Saccharomyces cerevisiae S288C: one gene and its partner. The protein of the gene in region 2 interacts with the protein of the main gene of each other region in a biochemical or structural test. Each region holds a gene or a part of one and is shown on either strand. Other genes may lie near its edges.

Region 1 (4,499 bases), on a different chromosome or scaffold from region 2:
GTTATCGTCGTCTGTTAAAATAGATATTACTGCGGAACATTTGGTACAATCTATTGAATTGCTGTATAAGGTGTTTGAGGGAGAATCCATGGACGAGCTGCCTTTGAGACAACTGAACAATAAGCTTATGTCTCTAAAACGATTCCCTCAATTGCCTTCGAATACTAAACATGCTGTACAACAGTCTTCACTGATCGAAAACTTAGTGGACGCTGGCGCATTTGAGAGGCCAGAAAGTTTAAACTTCATTGAGTTTGGATGTGGCAGGGCCGAATTCTCGCGCTATGTCAGTCTGTACCTTTTAACACAATTGACAAGCCTTCCAGCGGAGCACTCGGGTTCAAACTCGAACGAGTTCGTGTTGATTGACAGAGCAACTAATAGGATGAAGTTCGATAAAAAGATAAAAGACGATTTTTCAGAAATAAAGTCAAACTCACCTTCCAAACCTATTAGCTGCCCCAGCATCAAAAGGATAAAGATCGACATTAGGGACTTGAAGATGGATCCGATTTTAAAATCGACACCTGGGGACGATATACAATACGTGTGCATCTCAAAACACCTTTGTGGTGTAGCTACAGATCTAACTTTGAGGTGTATAGGCAACAGCTCAATTTTACATGGCGACGATAACAACGGATGCAACCCCAAACTAAAGGCAATTTGTATTGCCATGTGCTGCAGGCATGTCTGTGACTACGGCGACTATGTCAACCGCAGTTACGTTACATCACTTGTTGAAAAGTATAGGGCCCATGGCTCCATCTTGACGTACGAAACCTTTTTCCGCGTTTTAACTAAACTCTGTTCATGGGGTACCTGCGGAAGGAAACCAGGTACGGCTATTACAGATATAGTAAACGTTGTCGAATCGTTTGAAGGGGCTGAGCCATATACAATAACCATTAAAGAGAGAGAAAATATTGGATTAATGGCTAGGCGTGTAATCGACGAGGGCAGGTTGGTATATGTGAAAGAAAAGTTTACAGAGTTTAATGCGGAGCTGATAAGGTACGTAGAATCCGATGTTTCTTTAGAGAACGTTGCTATGTTAGTTTATAAGAAATAGAGAGCTTTTAATTTTTATTTTTTTTCACTTGTATTTTTGACGGGCTATTAATTTTAAATGAAACTTTTCTACATGATGGAACATAAACATAAATATAGGTATAGATAAATTGTTCTTCTTTTTTTTTTTTTTTCTTTAAGAGAAAGAGTAAGTAAATATATCTTAAAATTACAAAGGGCTTATGCATCATTTCAGTTAAAATTATTGAAGTACCGCTCCCTGAAATTATCTTTTGAACGTTTTATGCCATGATTACTTGATCCATTGAAAGTGCTACCCCTATTAATATAAACCAGTAGTCTCCTTGACCATTTATTGAATTCTTGAACGCAGTTGTATTTTAGCTCTAGATTTTCGTGCATTGGGACAATAGTTTCAATATTGGCGTCGTTTGCAGTGGGCATCCAGAAGGCTAATCTTCCGCCAATCGGTAATCTTTCGGAAGAGTATTGTAAAAGATCATCCAGTAATGAATCTAGAGCATACGGTTTTTTGGTTGGAATATAATCGCGACGCAAATATGCCTTTTCACCGTCAATTTCCATATCTTCCTTGCCTAGAAATCTTTCTGGATCCTTAGCACCTAGGACTTTTATGCTTTCTCTGATACCATATGGAGGATCACACAAAATAGTATCAATGACAAGATTGTTTCTTAATGCGTTATTTGTAAAGTCCATGGTCAACACGTCGAGGAATTGAGAACTCTCGCCATATTTTTTGAAGTTGGCCGAAATGTTCACTTGAGCACCCTTACCACGAATCATTCTGCCATCTATATCCGAACCAATCACTAAAGAACCAAAATGCCCACCAGCTACCAAAAAGGATCCTGTACCTGCAAACGGGTCGTACATTATAGTTCCCGGTTTCACTTGAGCTATATTGGCGCTGACCAACGATAATTCTGCTTCGAAGCTAGTTGTACCTTTATAAGGTCTTTTCTTCAAATCATATTTCTCCATGGCACTCCTATTGCTCATCTGAACCTGCCTACCAAAATAAATCCTGGTGGGGGTCTTACCACCAACGTTTTCCGATATTGGTGTGTACTCTTCTATAACAGTGAAAACCTCTTGAGGATGTTTCATATCAATCTTTCCTTCAAAGCCAAGGTAACGGAAAGTTTCAATCTGCTCTACCCTCTTAGCTTTACTGTTGCCTTTATAGCATTCGAATTCGAACTTAAAAGTGGAATGTTTGAATTTCAATTGCAGATCCTGTTCAAAGTTAGACTGACGCTGAATATCTTTATGCAGCTCATCGAGCGTTGTACCCTGCCCCCAATACTCATAAATACCTCTGGTTAAAATAGACCTCTTAATCCAATCCTTTGCTTGCTGATCATTTTCCAGCTCTACAATAAAGAAAGGGCTATTGGCATCGTACTGCGAAAAGTCTATGGAAAGATTATATAGGTCTGCTAACGATTCCAGTTCTGCTCTTCTAAAGTTCAAATGAACTTGTACCATATACAGCAGATATTTCTTCATGCTGCCGTTTTTACCTTATATACAATGTGTTTAGTTATGCTATTTCATCTCCATATTACGGGTATTAAGACCTCGATGCCCATAATCATCGATTTTTTTCACTTTTCCCACAACGTAAACATTTCTTTTTTCTTCGGAAAAGAATCCAAAATACGGGTAATAAAAGTCTCTTAAAGTACTAATAGCTATAGATAACATTATGGAGGCTATTGATATACAAAATACTAAGAAATATAGGTTGCTGCAAGGAAGAAGATCAAAAACCCTCTAAATTTCGCTTTATCTATCCATCAAAAGTCCGGAGGGTCATGCTATCGAAAACCTATTGACTATAAATATCAATTTTTTTATCTCTTCGATTTGTTCTTGAAGATCTTGCGCAGAAGTTGAAAAACAAAGAGTAAATCCTAATGTAGATGCGTGGAAAAAGAAACATGCTCTTAAGGATCCCAACTTCTTTCTCTTCTAAACATCTATAACCTTGGAAGATCTTGCGAAATACTGGGCGGCTAAATCGAATGCATTTTTAATCTTACCCGGAAATACTTTCTTTTTTTTATTTATTTTTTTTCTTGCAGCCCCTCCCTACGAGCAGCGCCGAGATTTCTTGTTGGACAAAGCAAAAAAAGTATAAAAGGCGCATGCTTTCCACACGCCCAGGCGCTCTTAAATTTTCTTCCGCTCTCTCCTTTCCGCCACTGTAATTAAAAACAAAGGATTGAACAGTTTCGACTAGTTATTTAATTTTGCAGATAGTCAAGTATTAGTACAATATACTGTTATAAATTTTTTACGTGTATCTTTTACTTTTTAGTGTTTAATAACTAAAATCTCATACCTTACTAGATTTCTTTCTAACCTTTTTTGCGAAAGAAACAAAAAGAAAAAATACGGACAGAAAAGGTATACTCAATAAACAAGAAATTGAAAAAGCGTGCATAATACAAACAATTGGCCCTTTTTTATTCTGTATTAATATTACTGTTTATATTACAATCTTTTCATAAAAGACGCAAATATTTTATTTATAAAGAACTTTAGCAGTATACACAAGTCTGAGAAAATAGAGAATAAGTTAAATAAGCAATGAGCTCTGACGAAGAAGATTTCAACGACATCTACGGCGATGATAAGCCTACCACTACTGAAGAAGTCAAAAAAGAAGAAGAACAAAATAAGGCTGGCAGTGGTACCTCGCAATTAGATCAACTAGCCGCACTACAAGCATTATCTTCTAGCTTGAACAAACTAAATAATCCAAATAGTAACAACAGTAGTAGTAATAATAGTAACCAAGACACATCTTCTAGTAAGCAAGATGGCACTGCGAATGACAAGGAAGGTTCCAATGAAGACACTAAGAATGAAAAAAAACAAGAAAGCGCTACATCAGCAAATGCCAATGCCAACGCTAGTTCTGCAGGACCTTCTGGCTTACCTTGGGAACAACTTCAACAAACCATGTCACAATTCCAGCAACCATCTTCTCAATCACCACCTCAACAGCAAGTAACTCAAACCAAAGAGGAACGTTCGAAAGCGGATTTGTCTAAAGAAAGTTGCAAGATGTTCATTGGTGGTCTGAATTGGGACACTACGGAAGATAATCTTCGCGAATATTTTGGTAAGTATGGTACCGTCACTGATTTGAAAATCATGAAAGACCCTGCAACAGGTAGATCTAGAGGGTTCGGTTTCTTATCTTTTGAAAAACCTTCTAGTGTTGATGAAGTGGTAAAGACACAACATATCCTCGATGGTAAAGTTATCGACCCAAAAAGAGCTATCCCAAGAGACGAGCAAGATAAAACCGGTAAAATCTTTGTTGGTGGTATTGGTCCTGATGTGAGACCAAAGGAATTTGAAGAATTTTTTTCTCAGTGGGGTACGATTATCGATGCGCAACTGATGTTAGATAAGGATACCGGTCAATC
Region 2 (4,990 bases):
TATCTTTCGCTCATTTTACCTACCTGTTCACAATATTGTTGGGATTAACTAATATTGCCTTGGCATCTGATCCAGAAACGATTCTAGTGACGATAACCAAGACAAACGATGCAAATGGGGTTGTTACAACTACAGTTTCACCCGCGCTAGTCTCCACATCCACTATCGTTCAAGCTGGCACTACGACATTGTATACGACTTGGTGTCCATTGACGGTATCCACTTCATCTGCTGCCGAAATAAGTCCTTCAATATCGTACGCTACTACCCTATCCAGATTTAGTACTTTGACATTATCTACAGAAGTCTGCTCCCATGAGGCATGTCCTTCGTCATCGACGTTGCCAACCACCACCTTATCTGTGACTTCCAAGTTCACTTCATATATTTGCCCTACTTGTCACACAACCGCTATCAGCTCATTATCCGAAGTAGGAACTACAACCGTGGTATCATCCAGCGCCATTGAACCATCAAGTGCCTCTATAATCTCACCTGTCACCTCTACACTTTCGAGTACAACATCGTCCAATCCAACTACTACCTCCCTAAGTTCGACATCTACATCTCCAAGCTCTACATCTACATCTCCAAGCTCTACATCTACCTCATCAAGTTCGACATCTACCTCATCAAGTTCGACATCTACCTCATCAAGTTCGACATCTACATCTCCAAGTTCGACATCCACATCTTCAAGTTTGACATCCACATCTTCAAGTTCTACATCTACATCCCAAAGTTCTACATCTACCTCATCAAGTTCGACATCTACATCTCCAAGCTCTACATCTACCTCATCAAGTTCAACATCTACATCTCCAAGTTCTAAATCTACTTCTGCAAGCTCCACTTCCACTTCTTCATATTCAACATCTACATCCCCAAGTTTGACTTCTTCATCTCCAACTTTGGCTTCCACTTCTCCAAGTTCAACATCTATTAGCTCTACTTTTACTGATTCAACTTCATCCCTTGGCTCCTCTATAGCATCTTCATCAACGTCTGTGTCATTATACAGCCCATCCACACCTGTTTACTCCGTCCCTTCGACTTCGTCAAATGTTGCAACTCCTTCTATGACTTCTTCAACTGTTGAAACAACTGTTAGTTCACAAAGTTCGTCTGAATATATCACCAAATCCTCAATTTCTACTACTATCCCATCATTTTCCATGTCTACATATTTCACCACTGTTAGTGGAGTCACTACAATGTATACGACATGGTGTCCTTATAGCTCTGAATCTGAGACTAGCACATTAACCAGTATGCATGAAACGGTTACAACAGACGCTACAGTCTGCACTCACGAGTCTTGCATGCCCTCGCAGACAACAAGTTTGATTACATCTTCTATAAAAATGTCCACTAAAAACGTCGCAACTTCTGTAAGCACCTCAACGGTTGAATCCTCATATGCATGCTCCACATGTGCTGAAACGTCACACTCGTATTCTTCCGTGCAAACAGCTTCATCAAGTTCTGTAACACAGCAGACCACATCCACAAAGAGTTGGGTAAGTTCAATGACAACTTCGGATGAAGATTTCAATAAGCACGCTACCGGTAAGTATCATGTAACATCTTCAGGTACCTCAACCATTTCGACTAGTGTAAGTGAAGCCACGAGTACATCAAGCATTGACTCAGAATCTCAAGAACAATCATCACACTTATTATCGACATCGGTCCTTTCATCCTCCTCCTTGTCTGCTACATTATCCTCTGACAGTACTATTTTGCTATTCAGTTCTGTATCATCACTAAGTGTCGAACAGTCACCAGTTACCACACTTCAAATTTCTTCAACATCAGAGATTTTACAACCCACTTCTTCCACAGCTATTGCTACAATATCTGCCTCTACATCATCACTTTCCGCAACATCTATCTCTACACCATCTACCTCTGTGGAATCGACTATTGAATCTTCATCATTGACTCCGACGGTATCTTCTATTTTCCTCTCATCATCATCTGCTCCCTCTTCTCTACAAACATCTGTTACCACTACAGAAGTTTCCACTACTTCAATCTCCATACAATACCAAACTTCATCAATGGTAACAATTAGCCAATATATGGGCAGTGGATCGCAAACGCGTTTGCCATTAGGAAAGTTGGTCTTCGCCATCATGGCAGTTGCTTGCAATGTAATTTTCAGTTAATATCAGAACAATTTAATTCATTTATATAAACATATACAATCAATCGAATAAAAATACAACAATGTAATGAAAACGCTCTCTATTGATATGTATTTGCTGACGCTTATAAATTTATTAAAGTTTTATTTTAAACCGTTCTAGTGACTTCACGCGGGGAGATACATCCAATAGTAAATTACAAAATAAGGAAAGTATAAAACAAACGGATAACAACAGTAGCTTGGAGACAGCAAAGGCACCCGAGCAGGCGTGGAAACACACGATGCATTTGAAAAAGGGGAAGAGGAGTATTAGCACAGTATGGCGACTTTTATGGAAGCGTTTTTATTCCGTAAACTCTAAGACGAATATGCATTTTTCTCGAAGTAGGAAGAAACCAGTGACAAACTTCACAAGGACAAACGGACTTCTCCTGAGCTGTAATGGTGATACATTCCCATATCTGCGTACACTGTGGAGATACTTCAATGCGCCTGGTAATTTGATGTTTGTCACAACTAATATTGTCGCATTTATGGGCATTGTTACGTATAATACGCTGGTTACTATCAGCAGTGAAAGAGCATTCGAAGAGCAGATGATGGCGGCACAGGTGAGCCTGGCGAAACAGAGAGAAGAGCTCGAGACTACGGCCCTCAGCTTGCCACGAGATATTGAATTGAGGGGTGAAGAAGATGATATTAAATGGGAGCAACCTGATGTAGCACATGTCCGGGAAGATCCCTTAGTCGAGGAGCAGAACGCAAAGTTAGACACCCCTATAAAACAGTATACTTTAGGAGATTTGATTTTGAATAAGAGGGAAAATGTCACTGATTATGACTCGCAGCGTGCGAAGGCATCTATATTCCACATGCTATATGCTTATATGCTGTATCGAGATGTTATTCAACCCACGACCATGACTCAAAATAACAACAGCGAGGAATGGCGGCGTGAAGTCGAGCTTTTGACTAAGGGAAAAGAGGTACAAGGTACTCATCGAAGGATAGACGTGTTCTACGACCTGTGGAATAAAAATTTCGATAAGATAGTGACATCACCTGAGAAAGTGCAGAATTTTCAACTGCCGAACTGGTCTAAATACCCAACGATATTGAAATTCATCTGCACAGAACTTCACGACAACAGTTTGAAGACCTTGGGTGAGTTTAAGCAATTCTATGGAAAGGTGCGATCTAACGAGGTAAAAAAACTGTTGGGTCTTTGGCTGTACGACCATTCCTTCCTTTTCCCCCATAATATCTACGACAACAGAACCGAAGAAGATTTTTACGATATATTAATTAATGACTCCATGCAGGATAACAGGATATTCCAGAAATACTCTTCAATTGTAATGAATCCCTACAACGAACGTACTCAACTTTTTTTCCCTAATGTAAATTCTCCATCTGTCAACAAGCCAGTACCGAGCATATCTCTGGAAACATACACACGACTACTCAAGGGATATATCAACTTGCAAGAAACAGGCTGCAAATACGACTATAATGACAATATATTCAAACTAATCAGCATCCTCAAACTAAATTGTTTCCTACAACGCAACAAGAAGAAACACGCAGGGCCAACCGTCAGAATCCTACTGCCGAGAGATGAAGACCGCTCTCAAATACTTGGTACCATTTCGCAGGCAGAGAAGAGAACCTGTTATCAAATTCTAAGCAAAAATAGGGACGTGGTTGCGCTGCTGAAACGCATTTCTGATATCCAGGCGGACTCTTCTTAATAAAACATGTAAATATGTACCTCCCAAATCACACTCATCATCTCATACGAAACTGTATCTTTTTGGGTAAAATTTTCATCGATGAGCTTTAAAAGCAAAACTACTTCACCAGCAATGAAGCTACTGTAGCATCCTATGATCTCTTCGGCTCTACACATCATATTACTAGCCTAGTCAACATGAAGTTCTTAACCACCAACTTCCTAAAGTGCTCCGTTAAAGCCTGTGACACCAGCAACGACAACTTCCCCCTACAGTACGACGGCAGCAAATGCCAATTGGTACAGGATGAATCTATCGAGTTCAATCCAGAATTCCTTCTGAACATAGTCGACCGCGTAGACTGGCCTGCAGTGCTCACGGTTGCTGCCGAATTGGGAAACAACGCCTTACCTCCTACCAAACCATCCTTCCCATCTTCGATCCAGGAGCTCACCGATGACGACATGGCCATCCTTAATGACTTGCATACTTTACTGCTACAGACGTCCATTGCCGAAGGTGAAATGAAGTGTAGGAACTGCGGACATATCTATTACATCAAGAACGGCATTCCAAACTTGCTGTTACCTCCACACCTGGTATAAATCAAGCGAGATCTCTGTGTGTGGGCACGCAAGACGAAAAGACAACTATATACACAGCTATATATGTAGTAGTAGCCTCATATACGTATGGCATCAAACATGTAGCATAAACAACCTAAAAGGAAAACAAAGACTGAGATCTAACCCACCACAGTTTCTATTTGAGCCTTCCCGTCGCGCGTGATTTGGAGATACAGATTCTAAGAGCTTTAAAGAACGAGATACTCTCCTGTTTTAAGGACTCACCGGCATATAAGGCAGCAAAGTCGCCGGTTTGAAGGTTCAGGGGCCTTGAAGGTAGTATCATTTGGAAAACAGCAAGAGAATATGGCTGGACACCATCACGAACATGAACAAGAGCGCGACCACGAGCAAGAACACGAACACGATTCCCTTCAACGGCCTACTACTGGATCAGAAAGGACTAGAAGTATATCCTTTTCGAAGTTGCTTACGCGGTCATGGAAAAGGAATGCGAGTTCATCGAACAACATGAGTGT

What was found. Proteins that work in one complex are often made in the same cells at the same time.
Region 1: the proteins of TRM112 (region 2) and TRM11 form a complex in vitro, tested with the Saccharomyces cerevisiae proteins (one study listed by BioGRID).

Annotation. Positions count from the first base shown.
Region 1 is NC_001147.6:84,193-88,691, forward strand, and holds TRM11 (tRNA (guanine-N2-)-methyltransferase), read right to left. Parts: upstream 2,566-4,499; coding exon 1,264-2,565; downstream 1-1,263. Other genes in the region: TRM13 (tRNA:m4X modification enzyme), read left to right, coding at 1-1,072; HRP1 (Hrp1p), read left to right, coding at 3,652-4,499. UniProt on the Saccharomyces cerevisiae protein: Catalytic subunit of an S-adenosyl-L-methionine-dependent tRNA methyltransferase complex that mediates the methylation of the guanosine nucleotide at position 10 (m2G10) in tRNAs.
Region 2 is NC_001146.8:703,706-708,695, forward strand, and holds TRM112 (RNA methylation protein TRM112), read left to right. Parts: upstream 1-4,082; coding exon 4,083-4,490; downstream 4,491-4,990. Other genes in the region: AGA1 (Aga1p), read left to right, coding at 1-2,171; PET494 (Pet494p), read left to right, coding at 2,434-3,903; serine/threonine protein kinase FPK1, read left to right, coding at 4,818-4,990. UniProt on the Saccharomyces cerevisiae protein: Acts as an activator of both rRNA/tRNA and protein methyltransferases. Together with methyltransferase MTQ2, required for the methylation of eRF1 on 'Gln-182'.